3 linked regions of the Lonchura striata genome follow. The protein of the gene in region 2 interacts with the protein of the main gene of each other region in a biochemical or structural test. Links are inferred from orthologs where the notes say so. Each region holds a gene or a part of one and is shown on either strand. Other genes may lie near its edges.

The links. The genes of interacting proteins can lie anywhere in the genome.
Region 1: of the proteins of HDAC5 (region 2) and SIK2, one has a biochemical effect on the other in vitro, tested with the Homo sapiens proteins (2 studies listed by BioGRID). The link is inferred for Lonchura striata from reciprocal best matches to the Homo sapiens genes HDAC5 and SIK2.
Region 3: the proteins of HDAC5 (region 2) and ZBTB16 form a complex in vitro, tested with the Homo sapiens proteins (2 studies listed by BioGRID). The link is inferred for Lonchura striata from reciprocal best matches to the Homo sapiens genes HDAC5 and ZBTB16.

What each region holds. Positions count from the first base shown.
Region 1 is NC_134625.1:9,393,738-9,400,650, reverse strand, and holds the start of SIK2 (serine/threonine-protein kinase SIK2), read right to left. Parts: upstream 3,008-6,913; 5' UTR 1,846-3,007; coding exon 1,408-1,845; intron 1,319-1,407; coding exon 1,202-1,318; intron 1-1,201. UniProt on the Homo sapiens protein: Serine/threonine-protein kinase that plays a role in many biological processes such as fatty acid oxidation, autophagy, immune response or glucose metabolism.
Region 2 is NC_134627.1:8,659,401-8,666,719, forward strand, and holds the start of HDAC5 (histone deacetylase 5), read right to left. Parts: upstream 3,017-7,319; 5' UTR 2,938-3,016; coding exon 2,916-2,937; intron 649-2,915; coding exon 586-648; intron 1-585. Other genes in the region: HROB (homologous recombination OB-fold protein), read left to right, coding at 4,739-4,741, 4,945-4,995, 5,073-6,278, 6,587-6,670, 6,776-6,916, 7,116-7,224. UniProt on the Homo sapiens protein: Responsible for the deacetylation of lysine residues on the N-terminal part of the core histones (H2A, H2B, H3 and H4).
Region 3 is NC_134625.1:10,775,828-10,783,012, forward strand, and holds the start of ZBTB16 (zinc finger and BTB domain-containing protein 16), read left to right. Parts: upstream 1-4,178; 5' UTR 4,179-4,258; intron 4,259-4,614; exon of another isoform or gene 4,615-4,727; intron 4,728-5,216; exon of another isoform or gene 5,217-5,220; 5' UTR 5,221-5,290; coding exon 5,291-6,558; intron 6,559-7,185. UniProt on the Homo sapiens protein: Acts as a transcriptional repressor. Transcriptional repression may be mediated through recruitment of histone deacetylases to target promoters. May play a role in myeloid maturation and in the development and/or maintenance of other differentiated tissues.

The DNA.
Region 1 (6,913 bases), on a different chromosome or scaffold from region 2:
TTATGGATTTTTATTTTTATGGATCTTTATTTTTATGGATCTCTCCTAAAGCTGGGGAAGTTCTGCCTCACACGTGGAATTATCACAATCCTCCACTTCAAAAAGCCATTTCAGATTTCAGGACAACAATTCCCAAGTATTTTTATTGGGTTGATTTCAAAAACCTCAGAGAAATTCCAATGTATTTTGAGTTTATTTCAATAACCTCAGAGAAACGTTTCAGCATCAGCTGAACTCGTCCGTGGGCAAGAGCTTTGTGAATTTGATTTTGCATTTTATTTCTTAACTGGCCTGAAAGTCCCAAGAGGCTGCTCACAAATAAAAGCAAAGCAGGTAGACAATTTGAAGGCTATTTTTAAAATAAATTCATTTATCAAATGCATTTTTAAGCAGAGGAGTGAGCACCACCCTCCCTGCTGATTTTCAGTCATAATTTCAATATTCTCACTCTCTCCCCTGCCACTTTTCTGTGGTGTCATTCATTCAGAAAGGAACTGAGGGGAGATATTATCGAGGCAATTGCAAATTTAACTCCTTGAGCTCCATCTCTACCTGCTACATCGATATTTTAAACCAGTTTTATCTTTTAAATTGAAACCCTTTTGTTTTTAAAATATTTTAAAGGCCAGCTTCTTGTGCATAGAATTAATTTAAGGTTGAACTGGTCTTAACTGGGATATTCATTTTTGTTTAGCTGAACTAAGAGGGGGAAAAAGGGGGAAGAAAAGGGTGGAAAAAAGGGGGGAGAAAAAAAGGGGAAATAAAAGGGGGGAAATAAAAAGGGGGAAATAAAAGGGGGGAAAAAAAAGCAGGGAAAAAGGTGGGGGGGGAAAAGGGGGGGAAAAAAGGGGGGGGAAAAGGGGGAAAAAAGCGGGGGGAAAGGGGGAAAAAAGGGGGAAAAAAGGGGGAAAAAAGGGGGAAAAAAGGGGGAAAAGGGAGAAAAAAAGCGGGGAAAAAGTGGGGGAAAAAGGGGGGGAAGAGGGGGGGAAAGGGGGGAAAAAAGGGGGGAAAAGGGGAAAAAGGGGAAAAAGGGGAAAAAAGGGGGAAAAGGGGAAAAAAGGGGGAAAAAAGGGGGAAAAAAGGAGGAAAAAAGGGGAAAAAGGGAGAAAAAGGGGAAAAAAGGGGGGGAAAAAGGGGGAAAGAAGGGGGAAAAAAGGAGGAAAAAAGGGGGAAAAAAGGGGAAAAGCCCCTCTAAGCCTACCTGGTAGAGTTTTATGATGTGTGGGTGGTCGAGCATCTTCATTATCTGCACCTCCCTGTAGATCTTCTCCAGGTTCACAGCATCCAGCTGAGATTTGTCGATGATTTTTATTGCCACCTGCAGAGCAAGAGGGAAAAATGAGGTTTAAAAACTCCCCCAAGGTGAGCTGACCCTCATTGAAAAGGGAATAATGCAGCCCCGGGTACCTGGAGGCTGCAAATCCCTGAGTGGAAAATAGAGCAGGGCAGCACTGAAAGTGGCTGGGGTCCCTCGGAGGGGCTGCAGGGCTCCCACCCACACCAGCATGTGAGGAAAAGCAGGTTTTCCATGAGCAAAAGTAGGTTTTCTATGAGTATAAGTTGTTTTTCTATGAGAAAAAGCAGGTTTTCCATGAGAAAAATCAGGTTTTCTATGAGAAAAAGCAGGTTTCTCATGAGTAAAAGTAGGTTTTCCATGAGTAAAAATAGGTTTTCCATGAGTAAAAGTAGTTTTTCTATGAGAAAAAGCAGGTTTTCCATGAGAAAAATTAGGTTTTCTATGAGAAAAAGCAGGTTTTCCGTGAGTAAAAGTACGTTTTCAATGAGTAAAAGCAGGTTTTTCATGAGTAAAAGCAAGTTTTCCATGAGTAAAAGTAGGATCTCCATGACTAAACAGGTTTTCCATGAGTAAAAGTAGGTTTTCTATGAGAAAAAGCAGGTTTTCCATGAGTTAAAAGTAGGTTTTCTATGAGTAAAAGCAGGTTTTCCTTGAGTAAAAGCAGGTTTTTCGTGAGTAAAAGTAGGTTTTCAATGAGAAAAAGCAGATTTTCCTTGAGTAAAAGCAGGTTTTTCGTGAGTAAAAGTAGGTTTTCTAGGAGTAAAAGTTGTTTTTCTATGAGAAAAAGCAGGTTTTCCATAGAATGGAAGGCACAGGACAGGTGAGGGAGGTCAGTGCTCCAGGTGTTCTTCAATCAGGAATTTGCAGTGAGCAACATCTCCCCAAAAATCTCCGTGGTGCCCATTTCAGGAGTCAAGGTGACAAATCAGAGTCCCACAAAAGGATATTTTATATGAAAAACTTAAAATTCTTGTGTTGGCTCCACACAAACAGTCCAAACCTAGGGGCTCCAGGCACTTGCAGCTGTGGCATATTTAATTAATTCGTATGTTATTATGAAAGGGTATCTGCAGTTCATCCCTTCAGAGATAAAAACTCTGCAGATGAATTTACCAGTCAAACCTTGCAAACACATCTCAATTAATTCACAAAACACATCCTGGCCCTGCTGACCTTGTTTTTTAGCCAATAAATGAAAAGGGAAGATCACTCGAGATGCTGAGGGGAACTAAAAAGCTCCAACAGAAGACATTTAAAATTGAAACCAAGAAGAAAGTGAAAATACAACCCCTGCAAAGGGTAAAAATGTTAAAGAGTGTTGAATATACAAATGGTGCTTGCTCACCCTGAATGTCACTTTATTAATGCTGAAGCAGGAGCAAACAGTGCAAGTCCCACTAATAATTCCAATTATAGCAGAATTATTATATACAAACCATATATACAAACTATTGAACATGGGAGAGCTGCTGCACAGGAAATCCATGGGAGGTGAACCTCATTATCTGCTCCAACACTGATTATGGGCCCTCCTGAGTTCACAATTAACTATTTATTGACTTCAGCTCACTCTGGTTTTCCCTCTTTAAAAGTCCCCAGTCTTTCCCCAACTCCCAGGAAAATGCACAACTTCCAGTGTGCATGAAATATGTCCATAAAATATATATATATATATACCACAGGAGAGCAGCAGCTCCTCCACTCAAATGCAGATTTAATACCTCAGCTCGCTCTGCATCTTCATCTTGCCAGGAGCAGGGAAGATTTTACAGAAGAACCACTTGAAAATACTTAAAATCCAGCAAAATCTTCCCAAGGATGTGAGCAGGAACAGGGAATTCAGCAGCTCCTTTTTGTCCATGAGCTCAGCTGTCTCTTGATGACAGGAAAAGGGATGTAATTCTTAGAGGTGGAGAAGCTCCTTCAAGCCACGGAGCAGTTTCCTATCTGAAAAGTGTGTTTTGTTCCTAAACATGCAGCTTGCCAAAAACTACTGGCAACAGCTCGAAATAAACAACAAAAAAACCCCAAATTTCAATATATAATGTCAGCACATCTTTCACCTGAGAAGGAAAGCCAAAAAATCCCTGATCTCTGCCTGTCACCAGATTTTGCTGCTTAAGGAGTTACATTCCAAGATATTTTTGCAGCTTTTGTGGTTTTTAAAATACAAAAACCATTTTAAAATACAAGGAACTGCACTTATTTCCTTCCCTCTTCCACTGGAGGCCCAGGGAATTGGAGTTTGCTCAATCCTGCCCTGACATCTGGGAATTGCAACTGCCAAGGAGGGAGGATGAAATGCTTGTCAAGAAAAGATGAAAGTTCTGCTGCTGCTGCTCCTCAGCTACTCCAAATGTCAGTTTTCATTGTTTTTGTTTCGTTCCTTTAATTCTTGAAAGGGAAAACAAAGGCAAAAAAGCAAAAAAAACCAAAACCACAACACAACCTCCCGCTACAAGTTCACATTCAAACAGAGCTTTGTCCCTGCAGGTTACAGAAATTCGGATTTGTTAACCCAGTGCATTCTTAAAATAGATAAAATGCATTAAAACTAACAACCACAACTTCCTGCAGTCTGGAAAAACTCCGTGTTTTGTTGCGCAGCGCAGGGAGCTGCTGACTCTGCTGGAGTTACTCACTTTGCAAATACCTGAGCTCACCCGAACTGCTGCCACAGATCAAATCAGGGGCTGCAGGGTCATTTTTCTTTTTTCTTTTTTTTTTTTTTTTTTTTTTTTTTTTTTTTCTCAAAGAAAAATAGAAATTCGCTGTAACAGCAGCCAGGTGGAAGCACATCTGGGAGGCACAGGGAGAGCCAGGTTTTGTTTTCCCCTAGGGAGCAGCGAGCAGAGTTCCTCTGCAGGGGATTAATCCTTAGGGGGGGTTAATTAAGGCTTTTAGGGGTGTGTTCCCAAATTCCTGCTTTTTCCAAGCAGCACCTTCACCTACTCCAAACCTTTCCCCTATTCCCTACATTCCAAACCTTTCCCTTATTCCACTCCCATCCCATTTCAGTGGAAGCAAATCTCCATCTCCTCCAACTTTGACGCCACCAATTATTCCCCTTCCCTCCTCTCCGTCCTCCCCAGGAAAATCTCGGCTCATTTCCACGCCTCATTAGCAGGAGCTGCCCTGGGATCACAGGATTTCTGGGCAGCAGCATCAAGAAAGGAGCGTGGCAGCAAAAAAGCCACGTGCCCTCCACTCAAATGGCACCAAAAACCCCAAAAAAGACAAGCAAAGGTCGGGTTCAGCCCCCCTGGGTGGACTGGCAGTAAAAAGGGTCAGGCAGCACCTCTATTCCTGCATATCCTTATTTAATTTATTTATTCCTGACATCTTTATCACCTGATAAATTTATTAATCCCCCCATTTTTCCCAACTTTCACGCTTCTGTGCGGTTGTTCAGAACTTGCATGAATTCAAATTTTGATTTCTGATTTCGTTTGCACACACCCTGTGCTGCTCTCCTGCTTCGTGTTTTCATTTCATTCCCACCTCTGCTAACAATTTATGGCAACAATTTTATCTCCTCACCTGCAGTCTTTCCATAAAAAGGATGGATTTTACACAATCCATAAGTGCTGCATTCAAGGTAATTAGAGCCCATCTTTTTTAATTGGATGGTTATTGGCTAGAGTTGCATTAAAAAATAAAAAGGCAAATATTTCAAAGGTCAAAATCATATCAAACACAATTTCAAAATGCCAGCGCTGGAAAAGCCCAACAACAAACAGGTTCTGAATGTAAAGGGTTGAAATCAGGAGATTCAGGAGAAACTTTGACAAGGAGTCCTTTTAAAACAGGTTTTTTGAGCAAGTCTCAGCAGCATCACAGCATCCTCCTGTAGCACAGACCTGAGGGTGCACCAGAACCTAAAAACTGAATATTCTTCCACTGGAACTTAAGCAACAGTTTAGAAGAAGTTTGAAATATGAAAACCCTTCAGTCTGGAGTCATTAACAAGCAGGATTTCCACTCTGTGTGCTCAGGGGTCCAACAATCAGGTGAGCTGCTCCAAGCTGGAAGTGCTTATTCCAAAGAGTATTTGGCTGGAATTTATTTCCTCTGACATCACCAGAAGTGATCTTAACAGGGTTCCCCTTCCTCAAAGATTGTGTAAATACTTCCAGCAACCAACTCAGCAATTCAGTTCCAGAAAAACACTCCTGCATCTCTCCCTGCAGAAGTCAGAGCTGACTCAAAAAATCAAAGACCTTGACAAAAAGTCCTCCAACACGGGCAAATTTGCTGTAAAAATCCCCCAGAAGATAAAAAGGCTGCAGGCTGGACAGAAAAGCTGGTTAAAAAATATTTGAAGACTAAGAGAATTCAGCAGTTCCTTAGGACACAGATGAAAGAAGCATCCAGGAATCGGGGAGCTTTTAAGCTCTGTGCTTTCTGCAACCTTTGTTATTTCGAACAATGCTAAACAAACAGGCTTTCTAAAAGGACAATAAAAACCAAGATTAAAGTTTTCATCTCCACCACAAAGCCTGCCAAAAAGAAATGAGGGCTGCAGAGCAATGACAAGCGAGTATCTTCAAGTGGAGCATTTGCAATTCTGGCCCATGGCACCAAACTTGGGAAGGGGAAGGCTGGCGCTGCTTGGCTCTTCAGCAGGAGCGAGGAAGGGCTCAGGAAGAACCGAGTTTAGGATGAACTTGAGAAATGAGGCAAAAGGAGAAGTTTCTGCCAGTCCCTGCCACGCAGAGCTCAGCCCTGTTAGCACCCGGGGTTTGCTGTCCTCAGCTGGGCTGCAGCTTTCAGGGCATGCTGCCATTCCTGAAGGGATGATTTTAGGATTTTAGGATTTTCCCCTCCGAGCCCACGGTGGTGAATACCTGCAGGCCTTGGGACAGCGTTTGAGTGACTTTGGCCAGGGACAGAGCAGCCAGGAACCTCTTCTTCAGTCAACAATGAAAGCCACCAGAAGAGAGCCTTACAAAAAGCTCACCTCTAGGTGTAGCAACTAAAACTACCTAAAACAAGGCAGAAGAGGAAGCTGATCCTTCAGAGCCATTACTCTCATCAAATACCTCCTTTTTCTTTTTTCTTTTTTTTTTTTTTTTAAAGTGAACACGACTACATTTTTACCCAGGCAGACCGACAATCATTTTTGTTTTAGGTAAAGCGCCAGGTATTAATAATAATCACCGGGTAATACACGGGGGCGGTTGAACAAAAGAGGCTAAAAATGGTTGGATTTGGTGAACTTGGAGGATGCCGTGAAGAATTCAGCACACACACACACACACACACACACTGCTGAAACAGATAACCCAGCATTGCCCAGGTCAGGAAACCCGAAAATACCCGGGGCACGGCGGCAGGCACAGCACAAGGTTTGACCCTTCCCAGGGAGCAGAAAGTGCTGCTGGAGCAGCACCGGAGCATCCTCGCGGTGCCATCCCGGCAGCGATGCCACCACCCCGGGGCTGATGCCACCACCCTGGGGGTGACATCCTGGGGGTGTCATCTTTCGGGTGGCATCCTTAGCGGGGGCGGGAGGGGGAGGTCGGGGGGTGTGACATCCCGCGGGTGACATCCTCGGGCATCCCCCCGCGGCCCCGGGGGCGTTCCGCCCTTCCCGGGAGGATGCGAGCGGGGGAA
Region 2 (7,319 bases):
AGCGCAGCTCCGGGGTTTGGCTCTCCCGGGGGGGATTTGGGGGTACTCCTGCAGCCCCCCGAGCGTGCCAGCCCCAGCCGGGGGTCTCCGGGGGGTGTTGGGGTGCAGTGGGGGGCGGCAGCACCCAGCCCTGGAGGGGGCAGCGCTTGGGGGGCTCAAAAACCCCCCCGGAGGTGCCAACCCGGCACTTTGGGTGCCACAGCCCACCCTGTGGGACCCCCACCCTGCGGGATTCCCACCCTGCGGGGACCACCCGGGACGGGGATGTTTAACCCCTCGCTGCCCAGGACCCCCAAACAGAGAGGTGCCCGTGGGCACAACAGGGGTAACCCCACGGAATGGGGGCACGGGAGAGGCCGGGGGTCTGCAGTGGGGGGGGGGGGGGGGGGGGAGCACCCCCAGGGCTGGAGCAGCTCCCCTTGCACACCTGTCCTTGCACACCTGTCCTTGCACACCTGAATCCACTCGCATCCAGCCGCTCCCCCTGCACACTCATGGGGGATGTCACCGGGTTTGGGGTGCTGTCACCGGGTTTTGGGGTGGTCTCACTGTTTTGGGGGGCACGGGGGGCCGCCCCCCACTCACCTGGGGCGGGCAGGGGGACACGGGGCAGCAGCTCCAGCGGGGGCTCACGGCCAGACCCCCCCTCTGCAGAGAGACACCCGTGACCCCCTGAATAGGCTGGGAGCGGGGGGCCACGCGCGCCCCCAGACCCAACCTCAGCTCCCCAAATCCCTCCTCGGCGGCTGGGGGGGGTCAAGGAGCATCCCTGGGTTTTGGGGTGACGGGAGCAAACGCAGCCCCCCCGCTCCAGGCAGGGCAGGGCAGAGGGACCCCCCCACCCAGGGGCCCCCCCACCCACGCCCCCCCCCAGGCTATTCTCTCCGGCGCCTGGAAATAGCCGCGCACGGGAGGAGCCGGCTAAAAATAGGGAATTGTGCCGGGAGGGGGGCAAACAGATCCCGGAGGGGATGCGCTGTGTCCCCCCCAGACCCAGCTGCACCCCCAAACTGCCCCGGGGCCGGGGGGCACGGGCTGCCCTGGCTGAGGAGGCTGCGGGGGGCTAGGGTCCCCACGCCCCCCCCCCAGCTCCGTCCCACCCCCCGCATCCCCCTAATTGCCGGGGACGCTAATCCGCCTCAGCGCTGCCGAGCCAGACCTGCGATGTCCGGAGTGGGGGGGGGATTAGCCCCATTTTTGGGAACGTGAGGGCAGGAGACCCCCCCACCCCACTGCAGACCCCCCGAGCCCCCCCAGGAGGGGCTGGGGGCGCAGCCGCCAGCTCAGCACATTTCCCGTGGGATCCGTGTCCCCACGTGGCCCTGCAGGGACACGGGGGGGGTGACACCGTGCCGAGCGTGGAATCCCCCCTTTTTGGGGACGGGGGCATCCCCCCGGTTACGGGGAGCCCCCCCGCCACCCCGGCCGTGCGTAACCCCCCCCCCGGGGCAGCGCCACGTTTATTTACCAGGCGTTAATCCCGAGCCAAGACTTTTAATAGCCGGGATATTTCTGGGACACCCCGTGCCCCCCCCGGGGTGCTCTGGGGCTTGACGTCAGCCCGGCTATTTCTGGTGCTGCCAGCGGGCAGGAGGCCGCGGGAACGGGCCCGCCCGGCTCCGGACCCCTCAATGCTGCCCGGACCCCCTCAATGCTGCCCGGACCCCCAGTCCGACCCCCAGACTCCTTCCCGGCCCCCAGGGCAGGGCAGGGGCTGCCCGGGCCCGCGGAGCCCCTCCGGAGCTGGTGGCACTCCTGGGGGACAGCGGGACCCGCAGGGATGTTGGGGGACCAGTGGGGACCCCCAGGAATTCCGGGAGGGAAGGAGGGGAGCGAGGGATGGGAGCGGCACCCACGGGACCCCCGGCTCTGGGATGGGGCCGGGAAAAGGAGCCCTGGGGGTCCCAGAGCCCCCGGGGGCTGACCGGGGACCCCCGGGGGCTGATTTGGGATCCCCCAGTGGGTGATTTGGGGTCCCCCAGTGGGTGATTTGGGACCCCCGGGGGCTGGTTTGGGACCCCCGGGGGCTGATTTGGGACCCCCGGGGACACGGGCCGCCTCCGCCACATCCCCGACAGCCCCAGCCCGGCCGAGACCTCCCACCTCAGCACCCCCGAGGGGGTCCCCCAAGGCCCGCAGGCAGCCCCGGAGCCGGGAGGGGACCCCAAGGAGCGCCCCGGGGTTGGCGGAGGCGGCCCGGCCGTGTCCCGGTGCCACCGCGCCGCGTGCCAGCCCCGTGCCAGGCACGGCCGGGCGGCGCTCCAGCCCCGCGGCCGCTCCAAAAATACCGCCTGGGGGGGCTGGGGACAGAGGGGACACACGCCCCCCGCCCCGGCGAGCCCCCGCAGCGGGGCACGGGGCGCTGCCGCCGCCCGGGCCTCAGTTTCCCCGCAGAGGCGCGGTGCCGGTGCTGCCGCGTGGCCCCTCGGGGCGGGGGGGGGACACGCGAGCGCGTCCAGATGTCGCCGGAGTTCCCACCGGGATAATTACAGGGCGGCTCCGCCGGGGAGCCAGCGGGAGCCGGGACAGCGCGGGAACGGCCCCGGGGGTCACCGCGGCTGTCCCCACGCGTGGCACGGCGGGGACCCGCCCCCGGCGGCATAAAGAGCCACGCGTGAGCCGGGCCACGGCGGGGCCGGGAGCCGTGCCTCAGTTTCCCCTCCCAGCGGGAGGATGCCGGGGTCTGGGAGCACCGGGGTGGGGGGGCGGCGGCACGGGCTGGGATAACCGGGGTGGGGGGCGGCTGGCACGGCCCCGGGGCCCCCCGGTGCTCCCCGGCTGGCGCGGATGCGCCCCGCCGCTGCGACCCCCGGTACCCAACCTGGGGGTCCCGCGGGGGCTGCAGGGCCGGGGGACGCGCCGGGGACACGGCGCAGTCCGGCCGAGCCCCTCGGGCCGCAGTCCCCGGCTCTCACCTGCGTCGCTCGGGGGGTCCATGGTGGCCCGGGGGGGCTCGCAGAGGCGCGGGTCCGTCAGCGCCGGCCGGGGCACCGGGGCTGTGCCCGCGCCGCCAGGGAGCCCTGCGGGACCAAGCGCGGGTCAGCACCGCGGGACCCCCGGAACCTCCCCCGCTGCAAACGGGGGGGCGAGCCCGCACCGAGCCCCCCCGAGCACCCATGCGGGGCAGGATGGGGGGGCTGGGGCACCCCCAAAGGGACCTGGGGGTCGGCAGCGCCACACCCCCAGGCTCCGCAGGGAAAGGGAGGGCCCGCAGGGGGACCCCCGGCCGTGCCACCCCCAGGGACACGGGTGGGACCCCCATAAGGAGGGGGGACACAGGCTGACCCCCCGAGAAGGGGTCCCCGCAGAGAGAGGGGTCTGGGGGCGCCACCCACGAGGGCCCCGCGGCGGGACGGTCCCCGCGGGGGGGGGGGACACGCCGCTCGCGGTGCCGGCAGCGCCGAGCCCGGCGCGGTGCGGCGGGGCCCCCCCGGCCCCCCCGGCCGCGCTGCGGAGCCGCCGCCGTGCTGGCACGCGGACCCCCGACACTGCGGGAACCCCGGACCCGCGGGGACCCCCCCCGGGCACGGTGCACAGCCCACCGCACCGGGACCCCGACCCGCACCGACCCCCCCGCACCGCGCCGGGACCCCCGAAGGTGCCGGGCTGCCCCGGACCGCAGGGCCCCCCCATTGCACGGGCGCTGCCCCCCGAGCCGCACCGGGACCCCCGGACTGCACAGGACCCCCACCCGCAGCGGGGGTGCAGCCCCGCACCGGATCGCGCCGGGACCGCCGCTGCAGCCCCCCCAAAGCACACGGGGACCCCCGGGCCGCCCCGGACCCGCACAGGGCTCCCCCCGCTGCACCCCCCGAAAACCCGCACCGGGCCCCCCCGCTCCGCACGGCGCACGGCCCCTCACCGCGCGCCCCCCCAAGCGCACCGCGACCCCGCACCGGACCGCACCGGACCCCGGGATCGCAGCCCCCCCCCACCGCCGCGCGGAGCCCCCCCGGAGGCGCGCGGGGGTCCCGGACAGCGCGGGTCCCGGCGGGCCGCGGAGCCGCGGTGCCGGTGCCCCCGGCCCGCCGCCGCCGTACCTGGGGTCCCCCCGGTGCCGCCCGGCGCGCGCCCCGCCGCCCCCCCGCCGCCGCCTCCATCTTCGCCGCGCGGCCCCGCCCGCCCCGACAACAACATTCGGTGACGTCACTCCGCGTCACGTGACGGCGCCCGCCGCTAAAAATAGCCCCGCGCGCGGGCCCCCCCCCAACCCGGTAAAGGGGCGTGGCCGAGCCGGGGGGGCGGGGCCTAACGGGGCCTTAAAGGGGCCGCGCAGCGAGTGAGGGCCAGGCGGTGTCAGTGGGGAATGGTGTGTGACCGACACAGGGGTGTGAGTGTGTAAGAGCACACAGGCGTGCGAGTGCAGGACACACGCACAGACACACGCGTGTGCCCCTGCCGGCCGCGGCACCTGCTCGTGCCTTGCCCACGCGCGTGGGTGTAGCAGGCCCAGGTTGGGGGGGTCACTCAGCCTGTGCGGGGATGAATCACGCCGGGCCGAGGCCGCGCTGAGTCACCGGCGGCGCCGCGGGGCCCGGCCGGTGACGCGGGGGCACACGCGTGTGCACATGTGACACGCGCGGGGAACGGGGGTGCGTGGCCCTTTAAGGGGCGCGCCCGCCGCCAGGGGGCGCCCGGCGCCGCGGGGGAAGCTCCGCCCCTTCCCCGGGGCCGCGGGTTCGAGCCCCGGCCCCGCCGCTTCCGCCTCCGGGGCCGGGCCGGGGGTCGCGGCGCTGCCATGGTAACGGGCCCGGCGCGGATTTGGGGTGCCCTGGGGGGATTTGGGGTCCGCCGAGGCAGCCCTGCGGGCCCCGGCCCGTGCGGGGTGCCCCCGGCGCGGTGTGAGGCCCCGCCGCCGCCCGGTGCTCCCGCACGAACCACGGAGACCCCCGGGCCCCCAGCTCGCGTGTCCCTCCCAGCCCCATTCTTCCCTTTTTCCCACAGTCCTGCCACTTCCAGAGGCTCTTTGGGACCGACGGGGAGCTGGAGGACGAGGTGAGGGCCCCCCGACATCCTGGGGCTGCCCCGGGGCGCCCGGGCCCGAGGCATCCCCGCTGCTCCTTTCCCCGCAGGATTTCCTCTCCGCTGTGCAAGATGCAGAGAACCAGTTTGTGATCCCCGGACATTCCTCGCCCAGCGCCGTGCCGGTTCTTCCCAGTGAACCCCAAACCAGAAAACCCCATCCCAGTGAACCCCATCCCAGTGAACCCCAACCCAGCGGACCCCAAACCAGAAAACCCCATCCCAGTGAACCCCAACCCAGCGGACCCCAAACCAGAAAACCCCATCCCAGTGAACCCCATCCCAGTGAACCCCATCCCAGTGAACCCCAACCCAGCGGACCCCAAACCAGAAAACCCCATCCCAGTGAACCCCAACCCAGCGGACCCCAACCCAGTGAACCCCAAACCAGAAAACCCCATCCCAGTGAACCCCATCCCAGTGAACCCCAAATCAGGGAACCCCAAACAAGCGGACCCCAACCCAGCAGACCCCAACCCAGCGGACCCCAAACCAGCGAACCCCAACCCAGCGGACCCCAACCCAGCGGACCCCAACCCAGCAGACCCCCCAGCCTGCGGCCCCTCGCCCAGCAGCCCGTGGGCCTGCGGGTTCCCCCGTGGCGGGGAGCAGCGCCCCAGGACGAGCAGGACAATGCCCTTTTCCTGGCTGCCTGCAGGGAGCTCGAGGGGCCCGGCGCTGCCCCGCTGCCCCCCGGGCGCCGCGAGAAGCCGCCCTGGAAGGGCGCAGGGAAGGAGAACGCTCAGGAATGTGGGGTCCCCAAAAAGCTCAGGCTGGCACAGGAGCTGGTCCCCGGCTCCGGGGGGCTGCAGGAGGGGCAGGGCCCCCTCCCCAGTCCCAGACCGGTGCTGCGGCCCAGCGCGGCCGGCGCCCCCAGACCCCCCCCTTCCCTGGGAGAGCCAAGAGGGTCCGCAGGCTCCGTCCCTGCTCCGGGGGCTCCGTGCCTGAGGCCTGGCCAAGCGCCCCCGGGAAGGAGCAGCTCCTCGGTGCCCTGGACCCCCCCAGCACAGAGCTGCCCCCAGCCCCGGCTGCCCCCCAGACCCCCCTCGGGCCCCCCCAGCTCCGTGGAGTCCCCCGGCTTCCCGAACCCCCCCGTGGCCCCCAACGCCCCCGGCCCCCCGAGCGTCCCCGTGGTCACCAACCACCTGGTGCAGCTGGTGGCAGCGGCCAGCAAAGCCCCCCCGGGAGCCCCCCGAGCCCCCGGCCGCAGGGAGAGCCGGCGCTTCCCGGGGCCCGCCGGGATCCTGCCCCAGCAGGTGGGCTGGGATGGGGAGGGGAGGCTGGACAGGGGTGAGAGAGGGCCTGGGTGGGGATGGGGACAGCATGGGAAAGGATGGGATGGGGATGGGGATGGGGATGAGGTCAGGAGTGCAATGGGTGTGGGCAGAACGGGAATGGGAGTGGGCTATGGGATGGGATGGGATGGGATGGGATGGGATGGGATGGGATGGGATGGGATGGGATGGGATGGGATGGGATGGGATGGGATGGGATGGGATGGGATGGGATGGGAGCAGCTGGTGCAGCCAGGCAGATCCCTGGACGTCTCTCCCTCTCCCACAAGCACTCTGGGAAGCTGCTGGAGGAGATCCTGGTGGCTGCTCCCCAGGCTCCGGCTCACGGGGCCGTGGCGAAGCCACGGGCTCAGGTAACCCCCCACACGGGCTCAGGTAACCCCCCCATCCCAGCCCTGCCCCGGCAGATCCCGGGGGATCGGCCCCGGTGCTCCTGACCCTGCGTGTCCCTGCCCCAGGCGCTGCCCAGCTCCCCGCTGCCCACGGAGGAGGATTTCGGGAAGGGGCCCTGGCTGGCCATGAAGACGGAGCTGGGGCTGGATGAGAGGGACCCCAGCTGCTTCCTCCACAGCTACAGCGTGGTCATGGTGCTCCGCAAGGTGAGGATTCAGCCCCAGCTCTTCCCTCAGCCCCCGGAGCTGCTTGTGGGGCTGGGGGTCTCTGGGGAAGGGGCTGAGCTGAGCACAGACATCCACATCCCCCGGGTGATGAGGGTGTAAGATCCAGCAACATCCCACGGGAAGGATCCTGGGGTTCAACTGCCCAAGGTTATCCCAAAATCCCCGTTGTGCTGTGCAGGCAGCCCTGAAGCAGCTCCCGAAAAACAAAGTTCCCAGCATGGCCGTGATGATCAAGTCCCTGACCAGGAGCAGCGCTGGTGCCGGTGCCGTGTTCCGGGACCCCACAGGTGAGTGGGGGTTACCTGTGCCCGGGGGTCCCCGTGCCCGGGGGTTACCTGTGTACCTGTGCCCGGGGTCCCTGTGCCCAGGGGGGCTCAGGGAT
Region 3 (7,185 bases), on a different chromosome or scaffold from region 2:
GTGCTGTATCCTTCCTGAGGAGAGTCAAAACCAAAGTAAGACAGGAAAAGCAGGATGAAACTGGAACACAATCCCTCACTAGAGCATCCCCTGTTTTGGGAGGCAGAACAAGCCCCCAGAAGTGCTTTGCTGAGGTCCTGGTGTAGATTCTGCTCTATTTAAATGACTTTTTTTTGGGATGAACTTTACCGAACACACATGCAGCCTCCACAGCACCATGAATTTGGGGCTGACATTTAATGCCTCGGCACATTTCTTTCCTTGTCCCGTGCAAGGCAATCAAGTATGTCAGGTTAAGAGAAGAGAAAAAGAGGAAAAATAATTACACAGTAAATTAAACAAGGCTAACTCCCTCCCACTTATTATGGCTTCATAAGTTGCTACCTCTGGCTCAAGCTCTCTTGAATACGTACCAAGGGTAACACTAAAAATAGGTCCTGTACTGATGGTTGGGTCACAGCCTGCTAGAGGGAGACATTTTTATTTAATTACAAGCCCAGCAGCGTGTTGCTGGGGGGGAATACATAAACACGCCACTCGAAGCCCGGCTGTAAAGTTTGTGCTCCTTCGCTGAGTCACTGTGGCTAAATTCCCCTTTGTGTGGGGGATTTAGGGGAGGAATGCGGGAAGGCTGGCCCGGGCTGCCGCCCTCCTGAGTCACCGCTCAGCTCATCCTCCAGCCCCGGCAGGCTCAGGGCCCTAAGCCACTAATTAGCCTCATTGTCTTAGGGCTGCAGCATCCATAACCTAGCACAGGGAGGGGGGGGACGGAGGGACAAAGCTCCTGGAAACCCATGAGCTGTATCTCCTGGCAGTTGTGTTCTGTGCGTCACAGCCCACCTCTCAACACTCCCCGAGGGATCCTGATCCACTCCTTCCGTGGGATGGCATGGATTCCGTGATGCCTAAATGCGAGTGCAGCTGTAACCTGGAGCAGTTCTTCTGAGCAGGGAGGGTTCTGGGGCGCGGGGTGCAGCAGCCGGTGACACCATGGTCCTCGTCACTGCTGCCACGTGCTCGAGCGTGGCCGGGCAGCATCCCACATCCAGCAGGGCCGGGAGGCTGGCAGTGTTTCTGCAGTGTGACACGTGTCTGCTCAGCTCTGTCCGAACTACCAGGTTGTGCGGGTCTCCTTTCCCACAGCAGCAAGCAGCCCTGCGCAGCTCCCTCGGGCTGGCTACCGCCGAGCTCCAAAAATAACTTACCTTGGGACCAACTGCAAGGTGGATAACCCGTATCCCACCACCCCGATCAGTTGCGTCCTTGCGTGACTCTCAGGTTGCCCTTGTGCAGCACACATGGGCACAATGAGGGGTCTGTTCCCAGCCCCTCCGCTCCTGGGCTGCCACAACGCGCACGGCTCCGGTGTCTGCGCTCGGACAGAGCCTGGTGCTCATCACTGGGGTTCAGAGGAAGCTTAATGCACCATGGCTGCACGCTGAGCAGCTTTCCTGGGGCTTCCGCCCTCCCCCTTGCAAACAGCTTTGTGTGTTTAGGCTTTTTTTTAAATGAAGTCTAACACATTTAATCATCTTTTCATAAGCTGTCAGCTTGCCGCGCACCAAAGCAGAGCAGCGCGCTCTGTCCCGGCTCCCAGCAAAGCAAAAGTGCCTGGAGAATCCTGCTCCTGGGAGCGTGCACACACACAGCTCAGGAGCTGTGAACTTTTCTCAGGGTCTGGGGTGAGATCAAAAATCAGTTTTTGGAAGTTATTTTGAAACAGATCTTATTTTGTACAGCATCTTTACTCCAGTGTTTCATAATTCAGCTCTGCACCATCAGCGCTGGAAAACTCAGTATACTAGAAAACTCCAAATACATCAAAAGCAAAACACAACTAGTCCTAGGAAAACATGGGAATGTGCCTGTCCCCCACCCTGAAGGTTCTCGGCAGGAGCAGGGAGAACAGGGGGCAGCTCAGTCCAGGGGCAGAGCTGGGGTGGGCACAGCTGAAGTCAGGGCCTAGCAAGCTGGGGAAGTCAGAGCCGTGTCCTTGCGTGCCTGTCTGGGGTGGAATGGGAGATTATGTGTCTAACAGCACTGGAGGAGTGTGTGTGATGGGAAAGGGCGTTTGCACAGAGTGGGAGAAGCTGTTGTTTTGGGCATGATGGAGAGGAGCTGCTCCTCTTCCCTTTCCATTCATACAGGGTGGGTGATGCTGGGGCACCTTCTGGCTGAAGTTGTCTCCCAGAATGTTTTTTGTGGACTAAGCATCCTGAACAAGGAATTTCCTTTCTTACTGTAATTGTGGAGACTGCTCAGTTTTACTCTCCTCTCCACACACTAGCTGCCTCTTGGAGAAGCATCCCAAGGCTGCCCTTGCCACTATCCCTCAAAATACGGGCTGCACATTGCCCAGTCCTTGTCTCCCCACAGACCTGGTGCTGCTGGCCAGGGTATTTCCCCGGGAGAAGCAAACATTCGTGTCTCCCTGTCCAAGTAACTGATAGGTCTGAGGGATCTGAATAGATCCCAGATTTTCCTGGGAAGGATGTCCATGCTTCACCTGGTTCTCACACAGAAGGCCCTTCCTGAGGAACCACCGACTCAGGTTTAATGCTGGAGGTTAATAATAATCACACCAGGCAGCACATCATTGCACCGTATCTGGTTGAGAGATTTACAAGTGAAACTCGTGGCGGAGGAAGAAATTGCCTCAATCACTCGGAGTAATGGCACATGGAGAGGCACTTGGGCGTGACTGCTACTTAACACGGAGCCCAGCTTGGCTTCATTTAGCTGCTGGTGCCTTTCTAATAAACACGTTACACTACAAGGTGGGGATTAAGATCAGAAAAGTAAATAAATTGGAAACTGATGGGGAGAGATGGGAGGGAAATGGAAGGTACTGAGGAGGAGTGACGAGGGATTGACTCCCATGCCAGCACATGGGGAAATGACCCTGAAGGCCATGGCTGTAGCTTTCCAAGCATCTCTGTGGGCCTCACCTGTGGCCTGCAGGTGCTGGGCAGCCCCAGTGCCAGGGCATGTTGGGTGTCCCTGCTCAGGGTCACCAAGCTGGTCTTCAGCAAACAGCAGCTGTGGCAAGTTGGTGTCTTAAACAATTCAGTAGCTTTTACTATATGTATTAGAGAAGCAAGAAAAAGTGCAATGCACCAGTTGACAGGAAGGACTGGGGGTTAATTTTCAGGATGCTGCCTGGGAATTTAGCCGTGGGATTTCCATTATTGCTAATGGGACTCATGCAGCTTAATTTCATGTGAGCTATACTAAAAACATACCCGTAACTGCCTGCAAAATTTCAGTCCTGAAATCAAGCCTTTTAAAAGTTAGAGAAGGGTAAACAAACACCTGAAACCACAGTGTCTCACCATTTCCTCCTCTCAGCTGTTTGGATTTTAAAGTCTGGAAGAGGGAGGAACTCAAGCAGTTTGAGACAATTAAAAACCCCCATCCAGCAGGCACGCTGGCTGCCTGTGCGGCACATCCCTGCTCTCTGCCAATTACAGCAGCAGAGTTATAACCCCCGAAAAAATAGGAGTAAGCTGATGCCTTACCCTTAACTATAGTACGGCGAGCACGGCGTTATCACACGCGTCTAATAACCCGCGCAGCGCCGCCGTGCATCGTGAGGCCTCCGTTATTAGGCTGTTCTCGTTAAATGACTGCTATCATCTGGTCCCAAAGTACATTAAATCCCATTATAATTATAAACACACTTCCCCATAACGTTCTCCTTAGATTACATTTGCGCTGCTTTACCCCAAGGGTATCTTTGTACTAATGCCGTCCGTGTTTGTTGTTTTAGCTGAAGACACCGGCCCTGCGCTGGCTGTGTCGGTCCACGGGCGCAGCAGAGAGGGAGGGAAGAAGGCAGAGCCGTGCGGCTGCCACCCTGCCCCTCCCGAGGATTGCACAGGGTGCGCCGGGCGCGGGCACGCCAAGGAGCTGAGGCACTCCTCGGATGCTCGGGGCACGCAGTGCTCCCTCCGCGCGTGGCCCGCTGCTCCTGCCGCCGCCTGGTGCTGCTGTCGGTGTCACGGTGTGGCTGGCGTCTCACCGCGCGTTTCGCTCCCTTCCCGAAGGGGACAGAGCCCCACGGCCCGTCCTGGGGTGCGGGCACCCGCCACATCCCTACACACAAGTGGCGCCGTCACGGCGTCAGTATTTTACCGGGGGGGCAGGGGGGAAAGGAGGACAAACCGGCTTCGTCGAGGCGACAACGTGCTCGGTGTCACATCATGTCACGAGCACCGCAGCTCCCGGTCGGAATCCGGACCCCAAACCGGGCTCCGAGGTTGGTTTTCACCGTCTCCAGCCCGGGGCCGGGTCCGCCCGGCGCGGGGGCGGCTTTGTCTGGCGGGGGCGCCGCCCGTCGGGGCGCGCAGCCCCGCTCGCGGCGGGCCCGGGGCAGCCGCGCCGCGGCCCGGGGCCGCTCCGCGGGGCCGCTCCCGGTGCCGCCGGGCTTCCGGGTGCCGGGCTCGCCGCCGCCTCCGGCTCCTCCATGTTTGTTGTCGGCAGCGCTGTCCAGCCGCCGCCGCCGCCCGCAAGGTGCGGGGCGCGCGGGGCGGGCCCGGGCGGGGGCGCCCGCACTCAGCGCGGCGGGCGGGGGCGGCCGCCGGTCGGTGGGTGGGTGGGGGCGGCCTGACGCGGGCGCGGGGCGGCCCGGGGGCCGGCGCCGCCGTGATTTGCTGCGCGGCGCGGCGAGCGGCGGCGGCGGCGATGAGAGCGGGCAGTGCGAACTGCCGGAGCAGCCGCCGGCCGCCGTGAGTGCGGGCGGGGGGCGGCACCGGGGCCCCCCGCGTCCCCCGCCCCGGGACCGCCGTGTGCCCGCGGCTCCGCCGCTTCGCCGCGCACCTGATGGGGCCGCGCTGCCGGCGGGACGGGGCGGCCGGAGCTGGAGCCGGGCGGCGGCGGGGGATGCGCACCTTCCTCTCCCTTCCTTCCCTCGCCTTCCCCGGCCGGCGGTAGCGGGAACGCGGCTCCGGCAGCTGCGGATCCGCCGAGCAGCGCGGAAACTTTTGGGCGAGTCGCTGCTAGGCTGCGGGCTAACTTCCCTCTTCTCCCCGCTCCCTTCTCCCCGCTCCCTTCTACTCCCTGCTCCCTTCTCCTCTCCTTTCTCTCCCCGGCTTTCCTCTCTCCCCCATCTTTTTTCTCTTTCTTCCCCTTTTCTCTCTCCTTCGTCTCTTCCCTCCCCGCTCCCCCTTTCCCGCTCCCCTCTGCTCCTCTCCCCCTCCGCCTTTTGTTTTCTGCAGATAGTCGGCACACAAAGCTGGTCCCAGATTTGAGCGACGGCGAGACACCCTGATGTGTGAGCCTGGGGCGCGCCATGGATCTGACTAAGATGGGGCTGATACAGCTGCAGAACCCCTGCCACCCCACCGGGCTGCTGCACAAAGCCAACCAGATGCGCCTGGCGGGGACGCTGTGCGACGTGGTCATCATGGTGGACAGCCAGGAGTTCCACGCGCACCGGACCGTGCTGGCCTGCACCAGCAAGATGTTCGAGATCCTCTTCCACCGCAACAGCCAGCACTACACCCTGGACTTCCTCTCGCCAAAGACGTTCCAGCAGATCCTGGAGTACGCGTACACTGCCACCCTACAAGCCAAGGTTGAGGACCTGGATGACCTGCTCTATGCTGCCGAGATCCTGGAAATTGAGTACCTGGAGGAGCAGTGCCTGAAGATCCTGGAGACTATACAGGCCTCCGAGGACAATGACACCGAGGTCGCTATGGCTGATGGAGGTGCCACCGCCACCACTGAGGAGGAGGAGGAGAAGAAGTCAAGGTACATCAAGGGCCTCTTCATCTCCAAGCCCACTGGTGAGGAGGGTGGCTATGCTGGCATGGCCAGCCAGAATCTGCTGGCAGCCACAGTGGAGCAGAGCCCCTCTGCCTCCGCATCCTACTGCTCCCTCTCTTCCATGAGCCCCACCAAGGCGGCGGTGGACAGCTTGATGACCATCGGGCAGTCACTGCTGCAGGGAGCCCTGCCACCCAATGCCCCCGAGGACTCACGCTCTGCCACCACCCGCCGTCCCTCTGGCCTCGCCGAAGTCAAAACTGAAGCAATGCAGGTGGATGAGGCCTCCAGCCATGACAGCCCCCGGACAGCCGAGCCCGGTGCCTCCAGTGGGGAAAAGGCTGACGAGAAGGGCAAGGAAGGACCTGGCACCCCGACCCGCAGCAGTGTCATCACCAGTGCCCGTGAACTGCACTACACCCGTGAGGAGGGTGCCGAGCCACCCCCTGAGCCTGGCCAGGGGCTGCCACTGGGGCCGGAGCCGTCTGCCGCTGCCCCGGGAGAGAAGCCCTTGGGCATCTACTCCCTTCTGCCGAACCACAAGACTGAGCCGGTGCTCGGCGTGCCGCCCACTGCGGCGTCCGCCCTGCATGTGCAGCCGGCCCTGGCTGTCTCCATGGACTTCAGCGCCTATGGCGGGCTGCTGCCCCAGGGCTTCATCCAGCGGGAGCTGTTCAGCAAGCTGGGGGAGCTGGCAGCCGGCATGAAGACGGAGAGCAGAGCCCTGGGTGAGCAGTGCAGCGTGTGTGGGGCAGAGCTGCCGGACAACGAGACCCTCGAGCAGCACAGGTGAGTGCCGAGGCCGTGCTGTGGCATGCTGCACCGGGCAGCCAGGATCTCGCCAAAGGGTTTCGGTTTCTGGCTGAGTGTCACATGCGTTGGTGCAAAGTTTCCATCAGGTACCCCAAAACCAGCTTGTGGAGTAGCATTCTAAGAGGGATAGCTGTTGGCAGCTTCCCCGAATCTGGTTACCGTGCCAGAAGGTTCCTTCCAGTGAGTGCTGGCTGGGAACAGCCCGGATGAGCTGGGGCCGTCGGTGTTTCCTGCGAGCATAAACACCACCAGTTTCCCTGGCTGGCATCAACCAAGTAGCTCACAGTTGCTACCCTTTGAGTTGGGGGATCTGCGTGTAGAGAGAAGCAGTGGGGACAGGCAGCGCTCGCCCGCTCTGCTGAGATCTGGTCCCCCCTGTGCCAGTGCCGGGGCACGCCAGCGCGGGCAGTGGTGTCAACATGTGTTGACTTGCCAGCCTGGGGGGTTTTGTGCCGCTCAGCTTCCCGGTTTATGAAACATTTACACTTCGCAGAAAGTGGCGCGGGGGTCAGGCTGGGTAACGCCGGGGCGAGCGCAGAGGGCTCGGGCTGCCGCAGAGCCGCGGGTCTGTCCCTGCGGGAAAGGTGAAGGGCTGAACCTCCA